Drosophila melanogaster: one gene and its partners. The protein of the gene in region 2 interacts with the protein of the main gene of each other region in a pairwise test. Each region holds a gene or a part of one and is shown on either strand. Other genes may lie near its edges.

Region 1 (7,798 bases), on a different chromosome or scaffold from region 2:
GAACTTGAGGCGATCGAAGATTAATTAAACTGCCATGGCGAGGAAGCCGGGCCCAAAATTAGAAAAAGAACAGGGCGTGTGCTGCTGGCCAACGGAAAAGCTGGCTGTTACACCGACTGCCAATTAAGCCAACTCTGCACGTAGCCGCAATAAACGAAACTCGAGCAAAGTGAAAAACACACTTTTCGGTTGTTTTTGGGACTTTGATTTTTTTTTACGCTTTGACGGCCCATAAATTAGCGCTCTAAACGATTGCCTGGCACTTGTCACCAGGCCGCCGTCTCATTTAACCTTTGACCAAATGCCGCTACCAGAGAACCGCGTGCGTTCCAAAAGAGGCGTGGCACTTGGAGCCGACGAAAAAGCAGCACGCGCACTCAAAATCAAAATAAAAACCTTATAGAAAACCAGGCTGTCCCCGGTTCTGGCGAGTGCTGTCTACCAAATGCAATATGACTTTCAAGTGGCAGCTCTATGGCGTGGTTTCCTAATAGACCAAAAAGCTACCGCTTGCCCAAGCCGAAATCGGAAGCAAGTGAAGGCAAAAACGTATCAGGGAATACCCTCACAATGGGCTAAAATAATTAAACAAATAGAAAAAAACAAGAAGACTTACACACAGATTTCAAGTCTTATAGGAAGATGATAGTTTCGCAATTTATGCTTACAAGAGCTGCTAAAACATAAAACATGTAAACTGACTTGGGTAATGAGAGATATAACACATATTCAGCGAATCGCATCTGATTTTGTAAGTCTCCAAGTTCTTGTAAGAGCAGACAGCTTATGAACAAAAAGTAAACTGGAAGTTGTGGAGCGTTAGAAACTGCGTGGACGGCTTTTATAATAATGCGAGTGAGTTGAGCGGCTTGCCTGAGATCCAGATGAGGATGCAGGGTGGGTGGGGTTCTTTTCGCTATATAAAGTAAGGTGCGGCTGGGCTGTAGAGCGGAAAAGCGGCGCAACTGAAAAACGCGTTTAATTGAGCTTACCTGCCTGCAACCTGGCTGCCCACTAGCGCCATCTAGCTGCGTGCGGCTGCACCAAAAGCCGGCTTTGTTGATTTTTTCAGTTTGCCACGAACAGAAGAAAAAAAAAAACCGAAAACAAAATCGATGATTCATCGCTTGGTTTGTTGTTTTGAGTGGATTTCGCCAACTGCAGCAGGCCCACAAAAATACTAGACTGTTGGCGCTTGCCGCCTGCTGCTGTTGTTGATGTTGCTAGTTGCAGTGTTGCTGGTTGACGGTGACGCAGTCGCAGTTGCAGTTGCAATTGCAGCTGCGCCAATTCTCCTCTGGTTTGCCGTTTGCATTTCGGCGCTTTACGTTCAAAACAATTATTATTCTGGCAATTAATTTTGATTTAAGCAGCGATTTTCAATACATTTCTATACATACATATAAACGGCTTCATATGTATAGACTGCTTTCCTAGCTCTTTGTAACCCCCCATCGAGTCTCCCTGACGGTTGAATGTCTCGATTTCTGTGGATTTTCATTTCGAGTGCAGCGATAAATAAACGACACCTACAATGCATATCCGAGATGGCATCTTTTAGATTGCGATGCGATTCGAACCGTTCGTCCGATAGGTAAAGTAATAGAATGAGGGAAATTAATTTGTTTACCTCAACTCAAAAAAACTAAATGTGTTGGTGGTTTCTGTTTTCTTGTGTTTTATTTATTTAAAAAAATTAAAATTAAATACATGCAAGTAAATGGCTACCTTCACCATATTTACAAGGCTTAAATCATAATGTTTAAGGTAAAATAAATTATAAGATTAAATTATAAGTTGGTAGGTATGTCGTATGAATTGGGGCTTAATTATCTGGCACCTTTTTGATTTGTACACGAATGAGTTTTAACAACGAACTATAATACAAGGAATTGTCAACGAAAACAATCTAATGCTAAGCTCTCAACTGCGATATGAGTTTTGGAATAATTTAGCGATAACTCTAAATAAATATTTCTGATAAACTAGAGACCCTAAGAGGCAATAAAATTGCCCTGACTAATTTTTGGCACTGACTTTTCCCTGAATCTGACTTCTGACTTTGGCTAAACTGACTAAGATTAATAAATGGCCGGTGGTTGCATTTGGTATTCCCCGCCCTCCTCCTCTTCACCATTACTGCTGCCCACACTGCCGGCGTAGTAGAGTTGGTGTGGATTGTGTCCCTCCTCGTAGACCTGGAGGTGCTGCTGTAGCTGCTGCTGATCAAAGCCCCCTCCTGACCCACTGGGACCTCCACTCTGCTCAGTCTGGCAACCGCTTTGCAGGTGCTTGGCCAGCAGGGACATACGCGAGAAGGACTTGGTGCAGGTGGGGCACGAGTACTTCTTCACATCCGAATGGGTTTGCATGTGCGCGCGGAGATTTGACCTATCCGCGAAGGCCCGATTGCAGTGTTGGCAACTGAAGGGCTTCTCTCCCGTGTGGGTGCGTATGTGACCCTGGAGGAGCCATGGTCGCGAAAACGCCTTGCCGCAGATGGGACACTTGCAGGGCAGGGTATGCGTGCGAATGTGCATCTTCAGGGCGCCCAAGGACACATAGGTCTTGTCGCAGTTCTTGCAGCTGAAGACCTTCTTCACCTGATTGCCCTCGGCCGACGGACAATGGAACTGCTGGTGCTTAGAGAGTCCCGAGTAGGTGGAGTAGCTCTTTCCGCAATCCTGGCAATGGTATCGCGGCACTCCCACTGGCTTTTGCATGCTCTGTGCTGAGGCTACATTAGCTGCCTGAATCAAAGCCGAAGCTTGATCCGTGCAAAACTCGGTTTGGTCGACTATCGCACCTGATCCTCCAGGCTGGCTTCTAATGATCTTGTACTCGGTGCTTTCGTAGGCGTGCGTTTGTTGATGCTTTACCAATCCTGCATAGGTGGCATAGCACTTGTTGCACTGCTGGCACTGGTAGTACAGATCATTGCTGCTCTTGATCTTCAGCTGGTTGATGTCCTGATTCTCCTGATCCTCTTCCATGTCTATCGGAGGCGGCGCATGTTGCGGAGCCATGTGTTGCATGCTCAGCAAAGCTCTGGCCACATTCTGCAGATTCATGTTTTCGCTCAGCACTCTCCTCTGGGTTACGGATAGGTCCTCCGGTTCGGCCAGTGGAGTCGGGGGTGGATAGAACAACTGGGGTGATGGAATCGGAGGTATCTCCTCTTTGATGTTCTGCATTTTCATACAGTCCTCATACTCGGCTATGCTTTTGAGTAGGTTGTTATTGTAGTTTCGCAGGGGAAATTGTTCCTCATCAGAGGGTTCAGCCTTGATGATGGTTGGGCTAGCATCTCTTGTATATCGAAGAGGCAGATGCTGTTCTGGTTCCGGCTCCGGCTCCATTACTTCCTCCTCAGGTGGCAACTCGAACTCGCCGTAACCCAGGCGAGCAAGACTCTTGGCGATTTCCTCCCGGGTGAAGACATCCGGAAAAGCGCGGGCTATCTCACGGGTTTCCTCCCAAATGCGACGGGCCAACTGCTCCTTGGTCTGATTCATGGCTGCATCGAAGCGGCGCCTCAATTCCGTGGGCACCGGCTGAGGTTCCGGTTCGGATTTAGCCATCCAATGGGGCTCCATAGGCACTGCAGCCGAGGCCACACTCAAGTCCACTGGTCCTTCATCTGTTGAAATCAGCATAAAGTTAAAATATGCCTGTAAATCACTTCCGTAGCCTTAAACCTACCATGACTTAGGTGATCCTCTGGGCTGGACTCCTCCACCATTATCGGACGCTTCTTGAGCGGGCAGCGGCTGTACTTGAGTTTATCCATGGTTGCTATGTTATTATTCCTTATGGTTACTGATCACTGATCTTCGATTTTGTATTTAATACCGATCCTTGAACTTAAATCACTGCTCACTCATTTGCTTTCGCCACACGCGTCTCGATCGCTTGGAGTTCCTTGCTCGAATGATGCAACCCGGCAAGGATCAGTCCGGTTTTATAGACTCCCGATCAACCCCCTGGCAGGATGATCAACCCCCTGGGCAAAAAGGATCTTGGCGTCTACCTACTTCCGATGTCGCCCGGGATTCTGTAAATCCACCCCGAACCACGAGCCAAAAGATCCATTCAGCGATCGAGCCACAGCTGTGCGTTCATTGAACGCAGATACAGCTGCAGATCGGGCAGTCCGGGGGTACCACTGCCATATAGAGAATCGTTGAGAGAGGGAGGGACCTGGAGACGAGAGGAACAAATCTGTGTGTAAAAAGCGAGCACGTGCCACAGGGACTCTCTCCGTTCCACTCGCCGATCGCCACCAGCTGCCTCTCTGGTTCAGCTCGTATTTCCCCTGAATTTCAATGGTATGAGTGAGCGGCAGCTGGTGGCGAGCTTGCTATTGCTATATACCCGATCAAGTTTATTTATAAGCCTCTTTCGGGTCCGCCTCACACGATCGCTTTGTATATAAGCCTAATGGACGTTTGCTCTTCGTGAGCAGGTGAGCATGCTCTTTGGAGCCCCACCAAGAGAAGTTTCGTACCCCACAATTTTCAACTCTCTTCGCTCTTTGGGGCGCTCTTGTTCCAACTGTCAGTCGTCCCACGAACTTAAGAGATAGCTTTCTGTGCTATTCGGAGGATAATTCAGCTGTGTTTTCTTAAGCTTCTTATTATGTTTACTATTCAAATTTTTCTGAGCTGAGCTTAAACGATCACATATTCGGCTGACTTTGCTGATCGGAGAGTGTGAAGATTTTTCAGGGGCTCGACTTAGGAAATTATGCCCAAATATTTAAATACCATAATAATTAAAACGTTCTCAATTAAAATCATTAAGATAGAAGATATTACAATAAAGGTACAGGAAAGTTGTTCTATTTTCTCTTTCAAAGCTTTTCATTTGTTGTATAAAATCGCACGCTGTTACAGAAGAAAAGAAGCACTTAGGATTCCAATTGATCCTTATCGGAGCGATCCTCTCCGGCTGGCAGCTGAGTAGGATCAGCACGTGACATTGGCTCCGCCATTAAATCGAGCCAAGCTACAATGCAATGTACCCACTTAGACGTCCACAAAAATATTAATCACCAGGACAAACAGCGCGCAGATCTAAGGTAAATCAACCTTTCCCAGAGTATTGTTCCGGTTCTCCGCCTCCTCGTGTATCGGTGCACTCGGCAGAAATAACCCCCTAACGGCCATGAAATTTCAATTCCCGATATTAAAGAATCCCGCCATCTGCCAGCGACCTCCAATCCACCCCAAAATGGGCATGTGCCCGGACAGTTACCTGGCTTTATTTTTCCGAACGGAGCTGAGTGCCTTGGAATGCGCCAAAAGAGAGAGGTTCGTGCAAATCTACCTGGCGCAGTGGTCCCACCCCAAAATCCACGGCATCACCAGACAACCTTCGTCGGAATAAAGCCGGTGATGGTGGTGGAATTGCAGTTTTGGACGTTACTTTCTAGCCAACCCCTCGTCGAGCGTCTTGCAAGGAGAGTCGCACCCCCCGATCATCATCTATTCCCACATCTGCCGACTGTGACACGTACCACAAGGAACTGATTTCGTCTTGGAACTGATTATTCCATGCCACGGGTATTTGGCGCCAAAATCCTGTAACGAACTCAGCTGGCCGGGATGTGTTGTGATCCTTGTAACAATAGGAAATGTTCTCTGATGGTACATTGAAAAGTGATTTTTGAATTATAATTAACTGGAATTGAGAAACTATTAATCGGTCTTTGATGCTTCGTTGGCTCATCTTTTATAATGAAATTTTAATTCAGGGTAAGCAAATTATGCCTTCAATACTCTAAGATCAAAAAATCTGATACTGATCTTTTATGAAGTGTTTAAGATTCAAAAAACCTTTAGAGATTGCCATAATTAGAGTGCTAAGTCTCCCGAGTTCTTTAATGTATATTTAAGCATTCTACAATATACAATAATATTCAACAAAAATATTCTGTTTCTGATCGGATTTTCTGCCAATAAAAAGATTTCACCAAGTATTAAATCAGAATTACTTTCTTTAAATACACCCTTAATTTTCTTATTTATAATACATTTCAAATATGTGCATCCATCATCTTGATCCATGATCACAGCTCAATTGTGCGACTAGCCAGCCATCTGCCGATGATCATTCGATTCTGACCATGGCCAATTTCACCTTCTGCTTGGCCAGCCCTCGAAGAGTGCAGATTTGCAACAATGCGGATAGTGTCATCAAACCCTGGAACGCCGAGGAAAAGCTAACTGCACATCACCTGGCAGGTAAACCGCAAAGGCTAACTGTCCCACACAGATTTCCACTGCTCCACAGCTGAGTGCCTCACTTCAAAGTGTCAAACGGCCGCACAGAGTCGCATAATGAAGTGCAAAATGTCATTAATTTGCCGCCGTCAAGGTGGCAAGGCAGCGAGTATCTGCGGATCGGGGCATCCAACTTCAAACTATCCGAGTATCTGTGTATCTGCTGGCTGCAGCTGCGCTCGGGAGCGGACAAAAGAAAGTCGGGCGGCGAAATAGACGTCCAAGAGAAGTATGCAGAAATCCAAAACGAATCCGATCTCGATCCAGGCCGCTTGTCCCAGCCACACGCCGACTTTTGTCTCACATTGTCACGAGCTGAAGGTTTTTCAAGCCACTGAGCAGACAATGCGGGAGAAATACAAGACAAATACAAGAAAAATGCGATGTCGCCCAGACCGAGCTGCAATCAAAACAAGATCTTAGAACTATTGGCGCCTGATACGGCGGGGGAAGCTTCAGGTCAGCGAGCATAAACGCCGCTTTTGAAATCCGATATTATTATCTGGCCGAAGTTACACGGTAACGGTAATTATAATCGAATAAAAGCAGACAACAGTCTGAAGCTTCCGACGCCGCATAAATTAGTCCCGACTCCCGGAGATCGAGACTAAGAAAATATGGAAGCTACGTCTATAATTCAAACTAATTTGTTTTATTGACAGCGTGTGCGCTTCGATAAGAGACCCACCGCATACACTCTCAAATTGGTCAATTATGTGGGGTCTAAAACCAGAGTCTCGGGACTCCAAGGCGTGTTTCATTAGTCGGAGTGACAATAAATTAAGTTTCGACTTCATCGCCGCTAATTAAAATGCGCTCTTGAGATATTAATCTGCTGGGAAGAAGCTTAGTTACTAGTCTTTGTGGTTAACTACACAGGAAATAAAAGTTCTCTTCATATCAGAAGCAAACATAATTATAGACTTGGCCATCCGTTCTTTATGTGACATTTTTCTCCGTGTATCTATAAGATTGGTTTTTCGGACCACCCGCTTGGCATTGGAAAGATAGATCGATCCGCTGATCGCTAGCTTTGGCGCTCTCATCTCGAACTCATAATCACCGGCGAGCTTGTGATTTTATTTTCATAAATGAATCACGATAATAAATTGTTTATGTTTCTTCGGTTCTTCATGGGAAAAAAAGATTAGCATCAGCGTTTATGTTAATGCAATGTTGAGACATCATAAAAATGAAAAATTTGCCGCCTTATTAGTTGCCGACCGAACAAATTTGGCAAAAGCTGAATCACTTGCAAATATATATGCATATCCGAAAATCTTGAGATAATTTCTTGGAGTGCTTAATTTAATTTGCTTATCAATGTCAAACATCCTTTTGGGTATTTCTTTGGTAAAGTTGAAGGGCACGCTGAAGTTCAAGTTCGCTATCGCTTGGCAGGTATAAATACAGTTGGTAAGTACAGGAAAAAGACCCTTGATTGATTTACTTTATGATTTGCCAAATCAATCCCGTTTGAAGTTAACTAAAATAAAAATAATCTACCATTGTGG
Region 2 (8,028 bases):
ATTGCAAACGGCAGGCGAAACAAATGATTACGGTATTCCTTAACTTCTGGAGAATCCGAGGGTTGAACGAATTACAAACCAGTGAGGTAAATAATGACAAAATTATGTTAGTATTTAGAAAAACGGCAGATTGTTAACAATCTGGCAGATGTACTCAAACTTTCGATACAAATCGAATAAGCAGGGACGAGTGCCTGAGGTTTAACGCACTGCGGGGTTGTTTGTGAGAGTAACCTTCAAATTTTATATTAACATTTTATATGTTACAAGTGAGAACGCTATAGTAAAGTCCCACGACTACCAGATACCCGTTACCCGGGAATGGGCATACAAATAAAACTAAACAATACAAATGAAATGGAAAAATGTCAACACATTTTTCAAGGGTGTGGACGGTTTTGGGTGCTAGAATGCGCGTGGCAACATCAGAAAACAAACTTATCTAGGCTCTCGAGTTTTTATAGTTCCTGAGATCTCGACGTTCATACGGACAGACCGACCGACATGCTCAGATCGACTCGGCTAGTGACCCTGATCAGGAATATTTGTATTTTATAGTGTCGGAATCGCTTCCTTCTACATGTTTGCTTGAACAAATTTTATTTTGATAATATATTTTGATTGGCTTATCGAATTTTAACAATTGACAATTGACTATTCTCACCTGCCTTCCTAATTTAACACATTTTTATCGGACAACAGCGTGCGCTTCGTCACAACGTGGACAGCCGTCCGCAGTGATATCGAACAGCAGCCGTCGGAGAAAAGGAAATAAATACAAGAAATCGCAAAAGTTTTTTTTTGTAAATATTTTTTGGTGTAAGTATAAAGACAAAATATTCAAATCTGTAAGCTTCGACATTAAAAGGTGCAAACCGCATTTGCAACGTGAATTCAATTATCCCTAATTAATTTAAGTGGTTGTTTACACCAGGGAGTGCCTCAAACTTTCACTTCAATTGATTGTCCAGGTTTCATATTTCAAATGGGAAGTGTGTTCTCGTCATCCAATTGTACGTATACGACGGCCTATTAAAATCGAAAACGATTACTTTTCGGAAGTTCCGGGGGTTGATTTCAGAAGCATATGCCTTTTGACGATACATATTCAGATACTGGGGTAGATAAAAAATGGACTAAAATACCCACTGATGAGTTGGCAATAATTCGCTTGAGTGGGTACTGTCAACAGGCAAATAATAGGTGTTCTTTTTGGGGGCGGGCAAACTTTACAACACAGATTGCCGCTGCTGGTACCGGTGCCCGTGATGGCCTTTTGTTTACACGTAAAACATCATGCATATTTAATTGGGTTAAATTGCTAGACGATTAACATTTGAAAATGAAATGTGCGGATAATTGAGTTTACCTTGACTAATTATTTTGCTTTTGATACAAACGGCTTGTATCCGTGGAAACAGTGAATATATATATACTGATATTTTAAATCAGTAACTCGCAAGTGATCTCAATCGATAAGTTTTCGCTATCGCTTTAATGTGGGAACATATGTACATTGTATATTCTATAATGAAAGTAAAGAACATAAAAAATCAAACTTCGTATATTTGTGGCAATCGTTCGAAGAAATGTTCAATTTTAAGACTTTTGATATGCCCTTTGAAATCACTTCCCTAGTGTTTAGAAATGTGTAGTATTTACACGAATCAGGTGAAACATATCTCTTCTAAACCGATGACTAAAACATACAAATAGCGTCCACCAGGATGATTACTAGCCGAGAGTACTATTAATGCGAGTTGTTTTGTTTATTCCACTTTAAGATTCCTGTAGTGGTATAAAGTAAGTGCCGGCCCTTCTCCATCTGTAAGTAAGTGTTACAATTTTTGGCATCGGGTGAGTATGTAAGTATGTACATAAATGCATGTGCTTCACACTTGCGACTATGTACATAGGTGCACATGTACATATATTAACAATAAGCTTTGAGTGGAATATTCACCTAATATAATTTATGTGTATGCATTGGTTTTTTCTTGAATGTTCGACATATTCACAAATTTGCTTTACACATTTGCTTAAAGAAATTAAGTAAATAAATAAATTATTAATAAATTAGTGTAATATTTCAAGAAGACCGATGTCCATCAGAGGTTTGATAAGCCTCGCCAGGAGCATTGTCAAAGTCACCTGGGGATGTACCAAACAAGGTTTGTTTTAAATTAACAGTCATGCTTTTTTCTTTTTAGTTAAATTATTGATTAAATAACTATAAAAAGAATGTTGTTGTTCCCAAAAGCGAGATTGGCTCTCCTTTATACTGAGATCGGATCTTCTCTAAGCCGAGATCGGTTCTTCTCGATACCGACTTCTTCTGGACATCGAGAAGACATTCTCATTTCGATAGCTATTTGCACACTGAAAATGTTTCGATCTCGATATGCGTATGCTGAGTACGATTTCATCTTGTCCAAATTTTAGATCGAAATGAGTATATGAGTAACGGCAATAGCAATATTTCGTCACCCGTTGTTTAAAAACAATACAAGAAATAAAAAACTCAGCAAAAAAATACGTTTTTATCACGAATTTTTTTTAATGCTGTAGAGCCCTTGTAATTCCCTAACATCGCAGGTTTAAAAGTTTAAGCAACATTAAACAGCCCCTTTGCAAATATGAAAGAACTAACCCTTTTTATAACAAAAAAATATTTCGTCATATAAATTATAAAAATTGTTTAGAAGTGTGGTCGTGAAAATTTTGGGAGTTTTGTAGGTCAAAGGAGGGGCGTGGCCACAGTGTTTTTGGTATACCGATAAAAATACGCAAGACTAACTCACACTTGTACATATAGTTTGTGAATTGTCGAATATTTATTTTACTTATAAATCTCAAAATTGTGTAAACTTGGAATTTGTTTTTTCTTTTCTTGTATAATTAATATTTTTAATTTCTTTTTTGACTTAAAAATAAATATTGTTTAATTATATTTTATAAAAAATTGCGTTTAATTAAGCAAAGAACCCTTAATTTTTACCTTTAAAATCAAAAATTCAACCTATTTCACAGTGTGTAAAAAGTTTTTTGACAAACTGTACATACTGTCAGTATCGAAGGAACGCGGTGTCATTTGGTGACTATCCAGGTGAGTACAACCCCAAGGTGCACGGGCCCTAAGACCCCGCTCGCTTCTACGGTAAAGCCTGGCTGGGACGCCGCAACAAGACGCCCAACGCTGTGGCCGGAGCCGTGAACCGTGCATGCTGGCGCTGGCAGTACAACTACGTGTTCCCGAAGCGCGCCGTGATCGCTCCCTTCTTCCAGCTGACCGTCGCCAGCATGACGTTCTTCTGTCTGATTAACTACACCAAGTTGAAGCACCACAGGAACTACAATACCACTAAGGGTCGCTGCCCAGTGGTCCTGCATCTACAACAGATTCTACACTTTCCACAAGACGTGCCAGAGGCGGGCAGCACTAAACTATATCTATTTGGCTTTTGTGTTTTGAAAACTGCTAAAGTGAATAAAATGGCTGTGAATATCCATGCTGCCATAGACTCAGAAAATTCGCAAGACAAACAATAAAACAAAGAAAAATCTAAAAAAATTCAAAAGTGTTTGCGTCGCAAACGCGTCTAACGCTTTAGGGCGTTATTGTGGGCGTGGCAACAGGTTTTTTGGCAAATGAATAGAAATACACAAGACTCCTAAAATTACGAAAAAAAATTTCAAAAGCGTGGGCGTGGCATTTTGGGCGGTTTTAAAGTGTGGGAGTAGCAGTTTTGTGTGTGTCGATGTGTCTATGTCTCTGGAAGCTGCATCCTCAATCTCAACATTCTAGCTTTTACAGTTCCTGAGCTCGAGACATTCATACGGACAGACGGACAGGGTCAGATCGACCCGACTCGATCCTGCTTAATATATGGTCGGAAACACTTCCTTTCATACTTTTAACCGAATCTAATATACCCTTTTATCCTACGACTAACGGGTACAAAAATATAAGAATAAATAAAACAATATATATTTTTTTAAATATCACTTTAAACCGATAAGCTCGATTACGTTTTATTTTGAGTTTAGTATACAATTTATAGAACATTTTAGCCAGATAGTATTCAATGTTCTGAAGGAGTATACAACTTACCGATTTACCGTATACAATTTACCGAAGAGTACAATTTACACTTGTTTATGCTATATGGAATATATACGCATTGGTATAGACTTTTTACGACATTTTGCACTGTTTTAAGCGATTGTAAGTATTGATTTTTCGAACTAATGATTTTATTTTCGAAATTTAAAATAACGTTTTGTTGCAGACAGACAGAGAAACCAACCAAAATGTTTATTTCGTCACTATGTGGCCTTATGTCCACATTAAAATTTAAATATTTAGGAAATCCTTAATGATGTGGGGTCAGACGAACTTTTTGTTTTATGAACATTTGTGCGCGTATTTTCTATATTTGTTAGATAAATTTGTTAACACTTGTTGACTTACGTTCAAGTTCCGTTTAGATTCATTTCGCCTTATTAACACAGTTTTTTTTGTGAAGTTTCTTAAATTGTGTGTATTATTTTTGTTTGTTTTAAGATTTCGGTCCACTTTTATAATATATTTGGAACGTATATTTTATATACGTAATATTTCTCATTATTGAAGTTACATCTTATAGTTTGATAAAAGAAAGTATACTCGATTTTAGTTAAAAAATTTAACACAGTAGTTACTTTCTTTGAGGACTAGATTATTCCAACACGAAATAGGTGCGAAAACTGAATATGAAACACCATATTCGTTGGTATTGACATCGTTTAAAGAAAAGCAGCAGGAGTGGGAAACCGATACCGATACCAGATTGTAAAAGTCTAAGAACAAAATAATCCTGCTTATAGCCAATAAGAGACCGAAAGCAAATGATACACCACAGAAGAAGATATATATATATACATACTAGAAAAAATGAGCCAATAAGAATCAACTATCCTAATTTCCAGGGCGTTTCCAAAAGTACGCGCCTGCGCTCTTCTAAATATAATAGTTTGTGGTATCAACCCTGTTTTTGTACAGGTATGTAGCGACAATTGAAATGTTAAATGTTGCTTTCTATTCAATTAACTTCACCAACGAATTTAGGTAACGATAATTGAATTTAATTGGCGAGTTAAAGGATGTGTGTGTAATACATGAGCTCATTCTCACACAATTCATATACAACTGACATTTTATAGCAGTACTTAAGAGTAGGACGGTCAATGTTCTATGTAAAACCGAGATGGAACACTATAGTCAAGTTCGATATTTCAAAATTTTTGTAAAATATCGATCAAATTGAGAAACACTACAACATGAAAATATTTTTTAAAAATTTCAAGTTTGAAATTATTTCAATTTTGGTCCTTCCGTATCTATCGATACGCCAAAACGAATTTTTAACTTTTTCGTTCGTACTCTTACTAACCGAGTATGTGTATCTGTAACAGGTTGAAGGAAGAATTTCCGACCCGAAATATATACATATATATTTTTGATCAGGATTACCAGCCGAGTCGATTTGTCCGCATGAGCCTCGATCGCAGGAATTTTGAATCTAGAAAGTTGAGAGTAAGCATGCAGTTTCCAGATACATACATATATGCAGAGCAAGTTTGTTTCCTGATGTTGTCACGCCAAAAAAGGTAAACGCCTCCGCGCCCACACCTTTGAAATTTGTTTTGAATTTTTTCATCACTTTATTAATCTTGTAAACTTCTATCGATATGCCACGTCCACTCTTACGCCCACAAACCGCCCAAAACTACCACGCCCACACTGTTGAAAAATGTTTTGTTTTTTGTATAGTACTTGATTTGAAAATTTCTATAGATGTACCAAAATCATTTGTGAGTTGCTCATGAACCGCCCAAAATGTCACATATCTGAAAAAATTTTTAATATTATTATTTCTTCCCTATTCAAATTGACATACCAGAAAATTGGTGATATTTTTCGTTCGAACTTCCATTAACAGAGTAACAGGTATCTGGTAGCCCGAGAACTCTACTATGGCGTTCTCAGTTGCTTAATGTGGATTGGCCAGAGCTTTGATGTAAACAGATGTGCCTAGATGGCTGGAAAAATGAAAGCATTTTTCTGTTGATGTTATCTATGTTAAAGCTACGACTCAAACCTAGTAAATTTTACTTGAAAATAATTGACATCTCTATTCCTACACATGTTTTGTTAAATTTTTGTATTATATTATCGATTAGAATTGAGTACTTGTGTAGATTTCAAAACGGGAACTCAAAACAACTGCAAAGTGCGTAATGGCAACACCCAATATGTGTAGAAATAAGGATGGCAACATCGTTTAATGGGACTAATGCGTTGCCCACGGTGGGAAATTTTAGCAGCCCTGGTTTGCGTTCATTTTCTACGTCAACAAAATTCTTCCCATTGTTTTGTGAAGGACTTTCAGCTATTTTACCATTATTTGTTAATATGTTTTAGTCTTGGCTTATACCCGTTACCCGAATACTAAAAGGGTATATTAGGTTCGGTGAAATGAAAATGTTTTTAGCAAGGTTAGGATCAATAGCCGACTGTCCGTCCGTCCTTCCGTTCGTAAGAGCGTCCAAAGTTCAGGAGCTTAAAAGCTTAGAATAAGCATTCAACCCAAAAAGCATAGACGCAGCACTAGTTGGTTTCCTAATTTAGACACGCCAAGTCTAAACTTTACAAACCGCACAAAGTTTTCACGACCACATTTATAAAAAATGGTTGTATATTTTTCATAATTTTATTAGTCTTGTGAATTTCTATCGATTTGCCAAACAACTTTTTGCCCCGCCCTCTCTAACCCCTAAGGGCCGTCAAACCGCTTACTCCCACACTTTTGAACAATTTTTAAATTTTTTCTTATTTTATTCCCCAATATGTATCGATATCCCAGAAAAAATATGAAATTTTGAGTTCGCACATATTAGCTGAGTAACGGGTATCTGATAGTCGAGGAACTCGGCTATAGCATTCTCCCTTGTTTTTATTAAAATATTTCCGTAATGGTAAAGGTAGCTCAGCTTTTGAGGCTATTAAAGCAAATATGTTTGGAGTGCCTCTTAATTTAATGAAGTGCTCTATAGTTGGATTTAGCATAGTAATATTTTATCTTGGTGTATGTGAAAACGGAATAAATACTTTTCATTATCTAAACGTCGACACAAATAAAAGGGTCTCAATACTTGATAACAGCCGCTTGAAGTTTTTGTTATTATTTAGAAATGCCTAATTTTGAAGCTGGCTCCAAAAAAAGTCGTCAGCCACAGATTTCATCTGATTAAGGTCAGACAAAAAAGCAAGATGGATAACAATTGAAGATCACGAATGAAAGACGGGCCTGTGGTACAGCTTAGATAACAAAGAGTGGGATATTCTACTAGAAACCACAGCCGATGCCGACAAGGTATTGTAACAAACAAAAGAGGTCAAAATCGTTACACTAAACACCCGAGCAGAGACGTGCCCTACACAGATAAATGGAAAAAATGAATAGTCCTTAGCCAACCCCTACTTAGGGATGTGTAGCGAGTAGAGTTGAGCGCTACCCTTGAAGCGAACAATTAAAATTATGCATTGTGTGTGGATTTGTGCATGAATAAATGTATACGATTTTTGTATTTGTATTCGATGGTTAAAGGGCGGGACGATCATACATACATATGTATGTACATGTGTGCTGCACTTTTATTGGTATAGCATCTGCATATCTATGTATGATTTTATTTTAAATAAACTAAAGAATGTTGATCAAAGCTTCCATTTTAGTACACCCTTAGCTCGGTCGTTCCTTATTAAAGTACGAACAGCTTAGAAACTAAATAATACTGTAGATTTTCAAAAATCAGCACAAATCACAAATTTGTCTCTGAAACCCCAGTATGGTTGTCCTTCGGTACAAGGAGGCCTTTAGGAGAAACACGCGTTTCATATTATTCGCCGGATACGGAAATATTATTTTAAATAACTGCGCACCATCACGAAGGAAATATTTTCCCGTGGGTTCGTCAAGGGACTGA
Region 3 (9,218 bases), on a different chromosome or scaffold from region 2:
TCAGAATCAGACCAAAAGTTCTAAATTGCTGCGGGATTACCTATTTAAATTTTAAACTTAAAAGAGCTTCTATTGTCTTTTAATATGCATATCTGTTATCTGGATTGTCAAATAAAATGTTGCGTTCAAAGTCAGTTTCCACTTGGTTGCTATTTGTAGACTTTCTTATTTCTTCCAGAATCACACCTTTTTAAGTTTTATTTTTATATTAAACACCCGCAAAACTCAATTAGAAATATTTCTGAACTGAACATATTAGGCATTCGCATGTTAGGTGAATATAACATATTGAACAAACCAGAGTCAAAAATCATGAAATACCTTCAACTTGTAAACCAATATTAAGGAGAAATCCCAAGGCTAAGCGAATGCAAACTCAAAAATGGAAAAGTTTATAATAGAAACTTTTTTGATGAAAAATGCTCAGTTTAAATTACCTTTCTATATTTAATATAATTTTTTTACATAATAGTTATTTTACCTGTAATAATCTGTACTATAGATTATATGTTATCTTTTTTTAATATAATATAATCTAATGTGCATTAGCCTTCTTTTGCTAATCAGAATACAACAATATGTTCAATTTGACATCATAACTAAAAACTGCAAGAGCACGATTTAAGCTCCTATTAGCCAGAAATCTGCTTCAGTGCAAGGATTTTAATTAAAATCTAACAACCCGTCTTCCGCTTAACGCAACAATATGCAATTAAAAACGCAGTTATTAGTGCTGCTGCGAACATAACCAAATAAATTTCCAATTAAAACATTGAAAAGCGTAACCGTAAAATGTGATTAGGTTTTACATTATATTTGCGCAACAGAGAGATGGAATCAAAAAATGGAAATTAATTTTTGGCGGAGCGAAAAGCGCACGAAATGGGGCCGAAAATATTTTTGTTTCGAGTGGCTCGCCATCAGCGCATCTGAGTGCAGCAGTAGTTTTGGCCAAAAACCCAAACGGCGGGACCAAAACTCATTTTGAATATGGCCAACAGCGGGCTGTGCATACACACTCAAGTGGCAGAGCGGCAAAGTGGCAATGTGGCAGCAAATGCGGCGGAAGAGCCACCGGAATAGACGGATTTAATTAAAATCGCAAAATTGCCGCCCTTTCACCTGATTTGCTGGCCGTTTGTTGTCCGATTTTGAGGGCAATCGAAAAATTTCTAATTTTCCGCTCATTATAAGTTTTGATGTTGTAATTAGTTTTTGAATGGGCTTTGATTTAGCACGTTGAGAGGTCTCTAAAAATTCAATAGCCATAAAGTTGAACAGGGCATCGCATGAAGCGATTCGAGGCCGTAAAAAAAAAGAGATTAACATTTCGTATATTTCCACCCATAAAAGGAATGTGGTGCAAATACATAGATCAAAAAGAAATGGATGTGGGGGGAATGCGGAAAAAATACGGCAACAAATAAAATTGAGGAAAATCAACATTATAAACAACATTATTAAAAACATGCCGCAAATGTTTTGCTCCTCTCGCATTTTTGAGTCCATTTTGTTGTGAGCCAGTGGCCAAGAAAAAGGGGGCAGCCCGAACAAAGGGGGCGCCTCCGATGGGCAAGGAGCAAAAGGGGCTGGCTGGCTCAACCTCATGATGATGTTCTGCACAGCAAATGAATGCTGCCATTCCGAGGGTGAAGCCGAATCATGGGCAGAGGGCTAATAAAATTAAGCCCTGCCAGGAGGTACAGCCAAGCAGGATGCGAAGGATGTGGGCAGCAGAGGATTAAGTTGGTGGAGCAGCTTAGGCACTTTGTTCCTGCCAAGATGTGTGTGTGTGTGTGTGTGTGTGTGTATATGGAGCTGTGTGGGGATGCTGGGGCGCCTGTGCCACAACGTCGTGCGGCTCCATAGGAATAAAAATATTTCATTAAATGAGAAAGGATAGCAGGAAACACGGACAAAGTACAGAAAGTGTTCTTTACGGCTCATTTAAAGGATGGTAATATAAAATATATGTTCGGATATAATTGATATGAATGCACAATTGAATGAATAAACAGTTAGACAATTAATGACTTCTGTCAATCGAATTAGTAAATATACATTTTTTTGATAACTGAATGTTTCTATGTATTAATAAAAACTCTGAAATTAGTCGAATAATAATAATTTATTCAATGTAAATATTAACGTAACTAAATGTCATTGTCCTTGAAAATTAATCCATCTATGTACATATATGGTGTACAAATTGGTATTCCTGTATCTCATGAACAGCTAAACTCTAAGCCTTCCCTATTCTGCCCTTTCAATTTAATTTCCATTTAATTCCCTGAGTAATATTAATATTTTTACAACATTATTATAACTCATACGCAGTGTTGCCCATCAATGGAGCCGTAAAGTAGGCAACCCTGTACTTTTAGCAAGCCCCGCGTTGCAGCCCTGTGCGAGGACTAACAGTAATTTTATTTGCCCGTTTGCCGAGGGGCCCTATGGCCCCTTTTCCTATTTCCTGGCACTTTCACCGTAATAATTCATAATGAAAAAAGTTTTCCTACCGCTTGTTTGTGTTTTATTTATTAGATTACATTATAATGTTTGTGTGCAGGAGGGGTTTTTATTAAATAAAAATAAATAAATGTTATGGTTATGGCAACGCTCCTCTTCTCCCTCGCCCCCTCTTCTCCCTTTACCGGAAACGGGACATCATCATCATTACGCCTCTCATCTCATTTTATCTCTCGTCCACAGGGCATGAACAACAAAACCAACAACGAGAACGACGACAACGAAGTTTATCAAAAGGCCAAAAGCACAACAACAATGGCGTCGGTGGCAGAGACCCCCACTTACCCACCTCTCTTTAACTCTCTTTCCTGCCACTTAAGAGCATGCGCGGTGCACATTAGTATATGTGGGTTTGTTTTATGAACGTGTTGTTTTTGTTGTTTGCACCTCGAAAAAATATTAAAATTGTGGTAAATAAATGGAAAATAAAATATGTGGGTATATAAAAAGTATTTATATATGTATGTAAGCATATGTGTATTCTGTTAGTTAAAACTGATTTTCCGCTCACTCTCTCTCTCTCTTCTTCTGGCACCACTCTCTTTCGCTCTGCTGCGGCCGCCATTGCTAAATGCCGACGCCTGCGTCGACGTCAGCGTCGGCGCCAAGTGGCTGGCCAATTCTTGTGGGTACATTAGCACTAATGATGATTGAAACGACAAACGTGACGCCGAAGCACCCGAAAGGATCCTCTCCATCCCCAGCTCGTTGCCAAGCTCCAGTTCCCAATTCCACCTCTCCGTTTGCCCTTTTTTGGCTGCAAATTCCTGGCTGTGATTTTAGAATTTGTCCCTCTTTGGTTTTTTGAAAGATGAGACGAAAGTTGGACATTGAGGGAACAAGGCAATTTGTAACAATTTGGTTTTTATTTTCTTTAAATACCGTAAGCTTGGTCGATTTACCCAAATTAAATCGTTTTAAATGTTATGACGATTGCAACTGCATAGCAAGCAAATTCTTGCAGTGAAAAATCATCTACTACTTTTACTATATTTTATGTACATACATTTAAAGTTTCTTCAAAGCTAACGGATTACATTTGTTTTATTTTTTTGTGTGTAAACTCGCCATTTGCTTTGTTCTTTTTTGGCATTTTCCTTGTCTGCCCGCTCCACGTGCTCTTGCATTGATTTACTTTGATGGGCCGCTAATTGGGGCCTCCTTCGTCTTTCCATTTCCGTTTCCGCCAGTTTCGCTGGCTCGTAATGATCGTTGGCATTCCGGGTAGTTTATCAAACGGTAAATTGAACACCCGTTTGGCAGGCAAAAGGGTGGAGCCAAGGGGACGGCTAATTGGGGTTGGGTTTGGGGTTGACCTGCGGCTGTAGATAGTTCGTATTGCCAACTTAGTTTGGGGATTTGGGCCAAAAACGTTTCCAAGACTTAATACTACTAACATCGGCCAAAAAGGACCATAAAATGAAATTGACAAAGTTTATTTACTGATAAGTCGTAAACTGAAATACTAAATCTAAAGGTAATTCGACTCTGAATTGCACTTCGACATTGAATATCATGTTGTATACAGTGAAAATTTAACTAAATTAAGATTTAAAACAAATTATTAATGTGCGTTGTTTTGTCGATTTTACCTGTCCAAATTTAGATATTTATACTTATGATGTATCTACGATGTAATTTCTTAGCTTATTGCTTCATTAATTATGTCTATCCCCACATAGCCCTGCCCCAGTGGCTTTTCCACCTATTCACAAAATATTAATAATCCAGCGTCGCCATATTGTCCCGCAATATTTTCCGACTGCTTAGGTACCGCCCATTTGCCATGAGCGAGGGAGACGCTACCAGTGAGCCAATTATCCATTTATATCATAATTTCAATAACTTTTTATACACTCGCCCTCGGAAGGGAAACGGGTGTTTACCAATGGGTGTGTGGGCAGGGTTGCTCTGATAGGTGGGTGGCTCGGGTGGCTGGTGGTGGATTGCTCCCTTTGGTGGGTGATTCCTTTTTATGTAACTGCCTGGTGGATGCTCCTGAATAATGACGATGACTATCAACGATGATTATGATGACGATGATGATGATGAGGCTTCGGTTGACGATGTTTTTATGCCTCAGCTACATCTCATCTCCTTCTTTCCTTTGTTGGCTCTTTCAATGGCTCTGATCTAAGCTGAGTGCAGGGTTGTCAACTGTAGCAAAACAAAGTCATGGGCGAAAGTCTAAAAAGGAGATTTTAACGCTTTGCTGTTTTGAAGATATTGCTTTTAAAAGACAAATAATAAATCTATATCTTTCGGATGTGTTGTACCAATATGTTTTAAAATATCATATATATGAATGTATAATAGAGAGACTTTCTAAATGTACACTTTAATCGTTCAAATGCTTAGGAACATAATAGATTTAAACTAAATTAAGGTACAAATAATTGTAACAAATTTAATTATAAAAAATTAGGTATGTACATAATTGTGTCAAAAACCAAGATACCAAGATTATTTAAAACAATTTTTCATTTAAATTTAATTCTGTTTTCGTTAGCACAAAAAATTAAATGTATTCATGAAAACGAACAAAGTTCAAAGCACTTAATTACTAGTTAATGAATACTATTAGTGAAAGTTTTGACAACCCTGGTTGAGAGCAAAAAAAAGCCAAAGGAAAAGCGGATAGAAAAATCACAACGGCAACTCACGCACACCCACAAAAAGAATCACTCACCCGCACACAGACACAAACAAGCGCACCGCAGCAAACAGAAAGCAGCGCTGCCAGCTTCGCTGCCGGCGTTCGCTGCCGATAATGTAAAAATTTTACGGCCACGAACTTTTAGTTCAGTTCAGTTTGCAACACGTTCGCGTTCGCATGTGTTTCCGGCAGTTAAACTTCCGCTCGATTTTCTATTCGATTTCCGTTACTGCCGTTGGGCGCAGAACTGTAGGCAACACTTTTTGCAGTGCCGTCGGAAAAGCAAATTTTTCAGATTGAAAACTGTGTTCGTGAAAATAATAGTGAAAGTACTGAAAACTGATTAACTCACGCTTGGATTATCTTTTGAGTTGATTACATCTGCAATTGAAATCAATGTAATTAGAACTTCATTGGTTTAGAAGGTTTGTAACTTTTGCAATTTATAAGAATTTTTGGCCCAAATCGAGTTCCGTCGGCTTTTTAATTCAAGATTACTAAAAAAGATTTCTGATTTTGGATATGCCATTAAAAGAATTATTTGAGATTTACCAGCGTTGAGCTTGTAAACATAGCAATAATGTATAATTTATTATGCCCAATATTTTAAAATGCATTCAATGCTTAAAATTTTATAACGGATTCTCTAAAAATTTATCATTCAGCTAAAATCTGTATGTTTCAATAAGATAAATACCTAAAATTTTCAATACAAAATCATATTTATGATAGCTCAGATGATAGCTTAAATTTGATTTAAAGTGCTTATATGTTTTTACAAGTTTCTTATCGTTATTAATTTTTTTCAAATTGAACAAAGACTGATAAATGAACATGAGTGATTAGAAAGATACAAAATAGGATAACATACTAGCTTTTCTCTCAGGATCTAAGCTCCACAATTAATGTAGCTAGAAATTCACAGCCGGAATGTGTGTGAAATCCACTTGTTACACCCAAATGGCATTCTCCTAATGAAGCTCATTTGGCCCGCACACGACATTAGCCTCGCATATTTAGTCAAATCAGCTTAAATGCAGCTTGAGACATTCGCATATTTGGCCTAAAGCACAAACAATGAGCGACAACAGTGCTGAGGACTTGGGATGGTGCTTCACCTGGGAGAGCAACTACATCTGCCACAATGAAGCAGCAACTGTGACAAAGTCTCAATTAGGCTATCACATTGCCACAAAACGATTCAGGTTTGGCTTACCTGGGCAAACACAATGCATGCGAGCGAGAGAAGCTGGCATTAAGCAAATTATACACTTTTCAAAATTATTCTACATAAGCTGATATTATAAAATTTTAACCCTTGTAATGAATGCCAGAAATAATGTACAAAAAGGATCCATTTTAACATTGAAATATAGAGTTATAATTCTAACTTATATGCAAAAGTTGCAGATTCCTCTGTTGATTAAAAATATTAAAGATCCTTTAAAAGAAAATTTACTTCTTATAATTAAAGATATTGTTCTTATTTTAATATCTAATTTGATAGGACCATGTTTATAGACGATTGTAAACTAGAAATATTGGTATTGTTAACCTTAGATACTGTTGTTTCTACTTATATTAAGTTAGTAATACTTCAGTTCCAAAATTGTCATTGTGTAGGGAAAGTCATCAAAAGGTCCGTCCCAACCAGTTGTAGTTCCATTGTTCCATCTCCCACCACTTAGCTGAGCTGACCAAGCACTTCATGGTAGAGCAACTTCTTCAGCCAGCGATCACATTTCACTTAATTGTGGATTTAATCGGGGAGTCGTTGACACCTGGCAGCCACAGAAGCTCCACAGCAGAGCAACAATTAAACAGAGGCATTTCTCCCATTTGCAGAGCGACCGAGAATCCCGGAGGCCAGCGGCAGAAGGCGGACGACAACTCGGAGACAGTGGCAAATACCTAAGCATGCTGCAGAATCCTTCCAAATATCACGCAAATCCCTTGTCGCACTTCCTGGCATTGCATAACACACAAGCCAGTGGCGGCGGCAGCGGCGGGGGATCGTCGGTCGCCGGACTTGGAGGTTTGGGTGGGGGCATTCATGCACATGGTCAACCGCATCATGCAGCGCTGGCAGCGGCTGCAGCAGCGGCGGTCGCTGTCTCGGCGGGTCAGAGTTCATACCAAATGGAGCACCAGCAGCAGCATCATCAGTTGCAGCAGCAGCAGCAGCAGCAGCAACATCATCATCATCAGCAGCTGCACACCCACCACCAGGATGGCCACCACCCACACCCACCGACACCCACCACCGGCAACAACAACAACAACAGCAGTAGCAGCAGCAACAGCAGCAGCCACAACAGCAACAGCAACCACCGGGAACAGTTGGCGGCGGCGGCAGCCACTGCGACGTCGCACGCGCAGCTCATCGAGGCGGCAGCGGCGCATTCCTCCCTCGACGTGGGCAAGTCCTTTACCATCGCCGCCATTTTGGGCCTGCAGAGCCAGCGCAAGGACTACAACAATGCCATCAATCTCTCCCTGCACGACAACAACAACATCATCGGTGACGACAACAACAAGTGCTACACGAGCAACCCCAACAACAACAACAACAACAACAATAACGGCGGCAGCAACAGTGGCAACAACAACAGCAGCCCGAGTGTAAACAACTTCAATTGTGATAGTGTCGCCGGTAATGGACGTTACCTGCACGGCGGACACCAGCATCCGCATCCGCACCAGGCGGGATTTGCAGCGGTTGCCGCCGCCGTCGGAGCAGCTCCCTCCGCCCTGCAGAGCCTGCAGCAGCTCCACCAGCAACACCACGCTCAGCAGCAGGCCACCCTGAGCTTTCAGCGGGAAAAACTCAAGTCGGGTAAGCAGGTGTTTCAGTCGATGAATAACCCATGATTTGATCATAAGTGGGTATTAAGTAAACATAGTGTGTGCACATCTAATACCTCCATTTGATCATCATTTTGTGATTCGGCAGATTCTCACAAGAAGAGCGCACTGAAGAACAAGCGCGTCCGGACAATCTTCACGCCGGAGCAGTTGGAGTGCCTGGAGGCGGAGTTCGAGCGCCAGCAGTACATGGTCGGCCCGGAGCGGCTCTACTTGGCACACACCCTAAAGTTAACGGAGGCTCAGGTGAAGGTGTGGTTCCAGAATAGGCGGATCAAGTGGCGCAAGCACCACTTGGAACTGACACAACAACGGCTGGCATTGATAAGGCAAACTCAACTGCCAGGTACATCGTTATTGGGCAATCAAGTATCCGTGTCGGCCAATGCGGCCCATTCTGTGTCCACGGAACGCACAAACGGATGCAGTGCAGCCTCGCCCAGCCTGCAGGAGGAGGACAACGAGGATAGCAAGCACTCGCTGTCGCTTTCGGGCGCATTACCGCCGTTGAGTCGAGCGCAGTCCGAGTCGGATTTGTCCATCTGTAACGATTCCCTGGACGGCGACAGCCTCATGGACGGCAGCGAGGAGGCCTAAAAACCACGCCAGTGCAAAGCAAGTTTCCTGTAAATATAGTCAAATAAATATGTACAATATCGGTTTTCTATACTTCTGCTTGTCTTTAATTGTTGATGATTAGCTGCAAGTTGATTGTTACAATCAATCAATGCAAACTATATTATATTGTATAAGCATTGCAGTATATCCATTACATACGAGTACTGAAAAAGCTTATTTAAAAACAGAATAATACAGACATTTACACTCAATTCGCACTTTATACCTTGATCAGTTATCACATTGGAGTATTTCACTTATTGCTGAGCAGCCGCCCTGGCGAGCCGATCGTGGCAGGATAGGTGCACGATGTGCCCATTTGGATAGCGCACGAAGGCGGACTGGGTTTGAAAACGCTTCTTGCACTCGGAACACACACTAGACTCGTTTAACTCGAAGCTAATGTTTCGCTGCTCCTCCAAGGCATTCTCCAGGCGCGTGGACTCTGCCTCCAGGAAGCCGCACATCATCTGCATCTCGTGCTTGTCGGCCATCATTTTACGTATAGATTTCTCCAAGTATTTCTCCAGCTGGGGCATGGGCATGTCAT
Region 4 (7,594 bases), on a different chromosome or scaffold from region 2:
GTAAATGACATTAAATAAACAAATTTTATAATTTGCAAATGGAAATGGGCACAAATAAGTAGAAGTACTGGGGACTTACAACTCAGTATGATTTTAACCAAAGATGCGAGTGCCACGTAATCGACAAAGGGCTTTCTTTGCGAGTCAGCAAAAGCGATCTAGGCCACAACATTTGCAGATCACGCTATCCACGTGGCGCAGAATCTTGTCCAGAAATACGGACGAGTTTTGTCGCAATACCACAATCCATGGTTTAAAATATATTAACAACAGCAAATTGCGAAGCAGTGATAGGTATTGAAAATTGAAATTATAAAATAGATAAGTTTAAGCTAAACATTCATCATTTTGAAGATTATTTTTCGGTATAGCCCTTTTAGTTGTGCTATCGCTCGCCATTTACTTAATACAGGACGCCTTCGATAAATGGAACACGAATCCGGTTATTGTGGGCATCGATCCGGAGCTAACTTCCATTGCCAACGAGCCTTTTCCGGCAGTGACAATCTGCAATTTAAATCAGGCTCTCGCCGAAAGGGTCGAACATTTTTCCAACGATTCCGTGGAGTTCGCAATGCTGCAGTTGCTCTGTCGGCGAAAGGTGGACGTTGAACTGGTGAAGACCAACGATTCCCGTTGGGAGGAGTTCATACTGAATGTAAGAAACGTTTCCAAATCTATTTAATTTGGTATATGTATTTCGACATCTTGGATAATCTTGGATAGGAAACAAGCAAAAAGTTCGTGCTATCTGTTGGATATCTCAGGAGCATCCTTCAGATACTTTTGCAATAGCAATATCTTGTCTGCTTATTTATTTTAATCATACAGATCTCACAGCCCTGCAACTCAATGGTTATTCACTGTCGTTTTGGCGCCGATGATTACGAATGTGCACGTTTATTTCATCCCATCGTGACCGATGAAGGTCTGTGCTGTGTTTTTAATATGCTACATCCCAGGTTTATGTACCGGAAAAGGTGAGAGGAAAAGCTATATTTATTTAAGCTTAAGATATCTTCAGCTCCTTCATTTCGCCAACCATCCATAGATGAAGCTTTTGAAAAAGCTGTTTGCGTAGCATACTTCTGGGCTCCAACCTTTTCAAAAGTTATGAAAACTTTGTAGCCCGCTTTTTGTCAGTTGCGAACCCTAGGCTAGGCTATGACTTTGGTTTCAGCTTTCCAAACGATAGCCAAGAAATGCACTCCGATAAGCAAACTTACTAACGAATGCTACATTTTCTCAAACATAATCCCCCAAAGAGTTCCCTATTCGCATCGGAATATAAGTCTGCCAGAGGGATTCCATGCAGTCAATTGGCATGCCGAGTTGGGCTATCGCAAGCGAGGCTTTCAGCCGGACGGTGATAATCCTCTTTACCCTCGACGAGCCCAAGGAACAGGGGAGTCATTGGGACTATCGCTGACCCTGGATGTCCAGGCGGATGCCTACTACTGCTCCTCATCCAGCAGCATTGGCTTCAAGATCGCCCTGCATAGCCCGAATGAATCGCCGAATGTCCGGGAGACCGGAGTCCTATTGGCACCCGGAATGGAGACCAAGTTGCGCATAGATCCGTCGAAAATTCTTACCGAGAAGCATCTACGCAATGTGGACCGTCGGAGCAGGCGTTGTTTATTCCACAATGAGCTAAAACTTCGCTGGTTCGCCCACTACACCCAGAGAAATTGTGTGGCCGAGTGCCTTTCCGGCTGGCTAATCCGCCACTGCGGCTGTGTGACCTTCTATATGCCCAGATTGAATGCGAACGATACTATATGCCCACTGCACAAGAGGGAATGTGTGGAGCTTATTCGATTTAGAACCATAATAGCGATGGAATCATGTCTTGACGAGTGCCTGCCATCGTGTTTCGATCTCAGTTTCAGCGCAATTGCCTATTCGACGAGAATATCGCTGGACGGCTTTAGGGAGACACCTTCGAATGGTGGTTGGAACTTTACCGATGCCTATGTGGAGCGCAGCGTAGCGGTGGTGAATATGTATTTTAAGGACCCAACATTCCGAGCAAACAAACAGACCGAATTCATAGGCTTTTCCGATTTTCTATGTGAGTTTTCAATTTACCTGTTGTTTTTTCTCAGACAAGAATTCACACAAATTGCGTACAATCCTGCAGCTGGCGTTGGAGGTCTTATGGGATTATTCCTCGGCTTCAGCTTTCTATCCATTGCAGAGTGTGTGTACTTCGCCTTGATTCGTCCCTGTCGCACTTGCTCGGAGATTCGACAACTTAATCAGCCAAGGGTGCATCAAATGAACTTAAAGAGGAGTCCGACTCCTGGCAACATCAGATACATTTCAGCAGCCGATTGGTTTCAGGCCGAATTGGCACATCAGCAGCCCAATAACAGGCAGCACTTTAATCCTGCTTAAACTTAGCAATAGTAACACTAATCTAGATGAGGTCCCAGTATTTGGTCACGAATTGGTTTTTAGGCAAAGCCAAATTGGTAGGACGTTCGTAGTTCAGAGCAAATTGTTTGGCCTTCGACTGTAATTCGTCGTCGAAAATCTAGAAGAGCAAAATGTTTATATTAATCAATATTAAAAAAAATCATTCGATTTCTTCACTTACATTGCATTCCTTTCTGTCCAAGAGGGGTGCTAAGTCGAATTCCATTACGGGCAGCGATGAGTTAATAAACCGTGCCGCATTGGCCACCTCTGGTACAACGTGTTTCTGCAGCAACGTAATTTCCCACAGCGAACTGTTTATGGCCTCCGATTTGACGGGATCCGTTTCTGTTTGATTGTAAGGATCGCTGACCTCATCGACTGCATGGCTGGCGCGAATCAATTTCTGCAATCCAGTATGTCTCAATAGCAGATTGCAAACGAATCGAATCATAATAACAGCATCTTCGGTCGGCGATTGAAGGGCCAGGCGAGCGAGACGCTTAACGAATGCCGCCACCAGATTCTCGGGCAAATGGGTGGAGGTCAGAAAGATATCGGCCAAGTAAAACAGGCGTGCCTTGTACTTGTTGTGGAACATCCGTGGATAGAACATATTGTACAGCTTCTCATACACATCCGGATAGGTGATATTCTGCTTTTGCATAAGCGTAAAGATTCCCTGAAGAGCCAGCAAGGCAATGGGGCCATCTGAAAACATAAAACGAGTCGTTAGAAAGGATCGGTTCAGTTTCGGAAAACTAAATACCAACCAAACTGATGGAGGGAGTCCATGAGAAAGTCGGTCAGCTGGATGGGATCGTTCAGGTGGTTGATTACGCGCTCCAGAAGCACCACAAGTATTTGACGATGCAGTTTCTCGTCCACTTCGTTGCCCTTTGCCATAATAGTCGCCCAGAGATTATTCAGTCTTTTGCGATTTAACTCGTAGTTAAAAGTCTGCTTTTTGGCGCTTTCCACGTGGTAATCTGCCGTGCTCAGCACAGACTTTCCCATATCCAAGAGGTTTACAATGGATAGAAAGTTCATGGCCTTAATGGGGCTGTCCTTGAAGTCTTCATCGGGCACTAAGGATTTCAATTGCGTCAGGGTTATCTCTAATACATCGAGATTTTTGCAATATTTCCCATAGTTTGCCAGCGCTGTTGTGGGCGTTGTATCGCTATTTATTAGGGTTTCCAGCATGCCGCGAATCCAGTAGGTGGGCCAACCCTTGTTGGGTGCTATGGGATGCTTGGCCTCCACTTTGATGAGCTGCATGCACACTTTTACAGCAACCGAACACTGCGAGTCAACCAGTAGATTCTCGATGAGAAGCAACCAAGTTTCCTCGTACAGTTTTTTGATTTTGAGACCCTGCTTTTCGGTGCCGTCGATTGCCTTTCGTTTTAGCAGATTCTTGAATATCACCTCGAGTGTATTCATCACCTCGCCAGCTGGCATATTATCGGGCGTATTCTTCTGCGTGCAGATAATAATAATTTCATTTAACTCATTAAGTTAATTATTAATTTGTTAAACTTACCAGCAATTGTACGAATCCCTTGAGCGTTTTGATGTCCACTTGCTCGGCATTTAGCAGGGAATTGGCCTTGGACTGCAGCTTCTTCTTAGCCAAAGACTTGCCGGTGTCATCGTTCACTTTCACAGTTAAGGGTTTCATTTTCGGTTTGGCAAATGTACGCTAAAACATATTAATTATGCGCAACAAACAAAAATAAGATGAATTTATGCCGCGTGCTTCCACAGAGTTGCCAGATCAGCGGAGAACGCTAAACAGAAGGTATTTTTAAACCAGATTTTTGTGTGGTATTTTTTAGTTACAACCCAGAGTTGGTCATATACCACGCTTGGGCCTATCGATATTTTGCACGCGCTGGCAGTTCAAAAAATACCATCACTAGGGCGCCAAGCGGAAAATAAAATTTAAGAAATAAACATATTTATAATAATAAACATATTAAACATAACTGTGAATTTTATTTAATGTAAGTTCTCGAAAGATAAATATTTTTTGTGTATTTAACTAATTCAGCTGCGATATTAATTTAAAACAATACTTCTTTGCAAACGTTTTCATTCACAACGAAATTCACTCAAGTTTGAGTCTCACTCAGCGCTTTTGCGCTCAAATTCGCTTTCGTCTCTCAAACGAAGCCGCTTTGTTTACAAATATTTTGTTGCTCCTTTGGGAATTTGCATGCGCGCCTGTTGCGTTCTTTTCGATTTCGTTGGGAACACTGAAAATTAACTTGAAGTGAATCTAATTTCAAATTCCGCATATGGAAAAAACATATAATTAATTATAAATAAATGTTTTAAATAAATTTTGTTTATACTTCAATTTTTATATTTTAAGGCAAAAATATATTAGCCATATTAGTGCATTCTTATCTTAAAAATTGTTTATAATATTTGAACATGTTGACATGCTGATTCCATAATTGTTTTCATTTAAAAATAAAATTTATAAATAATAAAATCCCAACTCTTTTTGTTGTTGTGATTGCGAGTACTGTAATATTTCATGAAATAATAAAATAAAGATTCTAAAATATGCTGAGTTTTTTTGTCGTAGGCGGCCACGTTCGAAAACGCTCAACTCGAGTCGCGCATCCTTCGGGTCCTTCGGCTGTGACTTCGTCCTGTGTTTTGGTTTTGCGCCCACTTGCGACTGTTTCGATTTGGATGGCGCGTAGTTCGCTGGCGAATGTCCTGACCGACGGTTGTGTGGCGGACTAGAAAGGATCCTACGAAATCGGGCTAAGGATAGCATTTCTAAAAATCCGGGAAAATCCAAGTTTAAAATTGTATTGTACATTAAAAAAAAAAAAACAATTCACAATTGTTCTTGATTTTTTTTTATGTGCTCTATGAAATATAAACAAGAATGTTTGCCTAAAATATAAACAAGCAGAGGGAAACAAATTACTTCAACAAGTTTTTAAGTGAATGCAAAAACCGTGCCGTATTTTTTGTGCCCAAGTTTTCCTACCTTTCCATTGGTTTTTTTTTTTTTTTTTTTTGATTTCTTTTTTGAGTTTACCACTGTCCAGCGATTTCGAGCAGTCAAATCAGGTGAGTTGCTACTGGCGGCGGAAATTGAGTCAAGAAGCCGGTAATTGAATTAAAACCAACTTCGAAAGTGAGACTTTTCTCCAAAAGAGGCTTGGGATTTTTGCACCTTTTCCCCTTGTTTTCCTTTAATGAACCTCTACATCCGGCGACAGTTTAAATTCACTAGTCCAGCGGCTTTTGTTTGTCATTTGATTGATGAGACCCAAAAAGATTCTCAAAAAAATAAATAAAAAACAGAAAAAGGGACACAGATTGGCGTGCCAGATTTAAATACAAAATATTTGAGTTTTAATATTGTTATTAAATCTTAGTCAAGTGTACAAATGGACTTGAAAAAGGTCATGTGCATAGAATTTCACTTTACGCACTTTAATGACTAACTCGCGGGAATTAATCCAATTGTTGTCGTGACACCATTGCACTTGCCACTTTGCCAGCGAATTAAGTATCCCTTGGCTGACGGGCGCGGTCAGTGCATCCGTTTAAACCGAAACCAAAATCAAATCCAAATCAAAATCCAGGTATCCAGGCTATCTGGCTTTAGCACGCGATGCGTTGCGATGCGAGGCGCCTCACATGCGACATGCATTTAATTTCAATTTCAGTTGGAAACCCCACCCCCCCTAATTTACACATTTAACGTGTGTAATTTGCAGCTAAATTTAATTGGCCTAATTAGGTGCGACATGGCCGTGAATCGTTGGCGTGGGTGAAATCGGGGTCCTTGAGCAGCAGGTACTGAATGCATGGGCGGGCGGTCGCCATTAAGTGTTTTGGTTAAGGACCTGGCACAAAGCAAACGGCAGTCGCGTCAATTCAGGTGAAATCAACTGAAATAATTGCGCACTTCAACTGTCTCCCCTAAAGAAATTTGCTTAATTGCACTGGAAAACTCTTTAAGGAGATCTTTTAAAAAATATCTGGCGTATGGTGTGAATTCCTCTGAAATATTTATTTGAAAAACATATCAATATCAATGCACACAAATAGATTTTAATTCCGTTGGAGAAGCAGACAAAATTATTATATTTATTTTACAAATTGATAAAAGTTACAAAAGAACATTGATGTGGTATCATTTAAAGCTATATTTTGCCACTTGACCAACCACCATGGCAACCAAACAAAATTCGAAAAAATCCAAAAGGCCTAGGGGTCGAGATTTCTTTGGCCGGGATTCCTTTTAAAGCATTAAAAGGAATGGTGCAAAAAGTTGTTCATAATATTTTAACAAGAATTTAACGCTGCAGGCAAGGACAAGGCACACAAGTCCTGAAGTCCCGCCGCGCCCCCACAGCCCCCTCAGCATCCTTAGCCCCGCCCCGCTCCATCTTCTAGCAAACATTGTCCAAGCGACCAAGATGTGGCATTAAAAATGAAAAAGCAACTCAAAATTCTCTGTCTTGCAAATGGGAACGCAGCAGTAAAAATACCAAAACGCATAGTCACAAGGCGCAGTGTGGAGGGGGGTGGGGTTGGTGAAAAGCTAAGGAAAAGCGCTGGCATGCGTTATATGTAACTGAAGCCTTTGGTTTTTTGCTCAATTTTTTTTCCTTTTTTTTCTAGGTTCCGGGGTCCAGGCCTCGGCTCATCTGAGGCATGCAAAATGAACCATAAAGTGCAGTCAGTCAAGTTGTTTTGAAGCCCTTGCCCTTTTCCGTCCAACAACTCCCCTCTTCTCAACAGCCCCTCCCCCCCCCCCTCCAGCAACTGATAAGCACTTGACTCGAAGGCTTTAACCACTTTTTTGCCCACCCCCCCCCCTCCAGAGCCCCTTATGCTACGCCCCCGCTGCACCTAAAAGCGTATATAAACCCGAAGAGCCCGACGCCGGGTTCATAAAGTCGTACTCATATCTTTTCCCGTTTCGGAGTGGGACACATAAATGGCCCCTCTGTGCGGGTAAATATTTCGAAATTCTGTGCCCTTTGAGGTGCAATTTTCCTAGATAGAAAAAGACACATTTTCATTCTCCACCGAGGACATTGGCAAATTGCTACATAAAGGGTTGAATGGCGTGCAACTTCTGGGTAATTAGGAATCATGCTGAATTCCAAAGCAGTGAAAAGTTGTA

The links.
Region 1: the proteins of fuss (region 2) and wor interact in a two-hybrid assay, tested with the Drosophila melanogaster proteins (one large-scale study listed by BioGRID).
Region 3: the proteins of fuss (region 2) and CG18599 interact in a two-hybrid assay, tested with the Drosophila melanogaster proteins (one large-scale study listed by BioGRID).
Region 4: the proteins of fuss (region 2) and CG2875 interact in a two-hybrid assay, tested with the Drosophila melanogaster proteins (one large-scale study listed by BioGRID).

Annotation. Positions count from the first base shown.
Region 1 is NT_033779.5:15,421,641-15,429,438, forward strand, and holds wor (worniu), read right to left. Parts: upstream 3,941-7,798; 5' UTR 3,791-3,940; coding exon 3,703-3,790; intron 3,641-3,702; coding exon 2,082-3,640; 3' UTR 1,657-2,081; downstream 1-1,656.
Region 2 is NC_004353.4:973,736-981,763, forward strand, and holds the start of fuss (fussel), read right to left. Parts: upstream 4,755-8,028; 5' UTR 4,472-4,754; intron 3,527-4,471; exon of another isoform or gene 3,031-3,526; intron 2,301-3,030; exon of another isoform or gene 1,370-2,300; intron 1-1,369.
Region 3 is NT_033777.3:18,262,455-18,271,672, forward strand, and holds CG18599 (uncharacterized protein), read left to right. Parts: upstream 1-5,334; 5' UTR 5,335-5,610; intron 5,611-7,030; 5' UTR 7,031-7,102; coding exon 7,103-8,021; intron 8,022-8,138; coding exon 8,139-8,647; 3' UTR 8,648-8,718; downstream 8,719-9,218. Other genes in the region: Vps39 (vacuolar protein sorting 39), read right to left, coding at 8,926-9,218.
Region 4 is NC_004354.4:3,569,401-3,576,994, forward strand, and holds CG2875 (uncharacterized protein), read right to left. Parts: upstream 4,223-7,594; 5' UTR 4,106-4,222; coding exon 3,968-4,105; intron 3,904-3,967; coding exon 3,195-3,903; intron 3,133-3,194; coding exon 2,603-3,132; intron 2,601-2,602; exon of another isoform or gene 2,540-2,600; coding exon 2,423-2,539; 3' UTR 2,401-2,422; downstream 1-2,400. Other genes in the region: ppk8 (pickpocket 8), read left to right, coding at 104-294, 355-658, 832-980, 1,266-2,074, 2,144-2,400.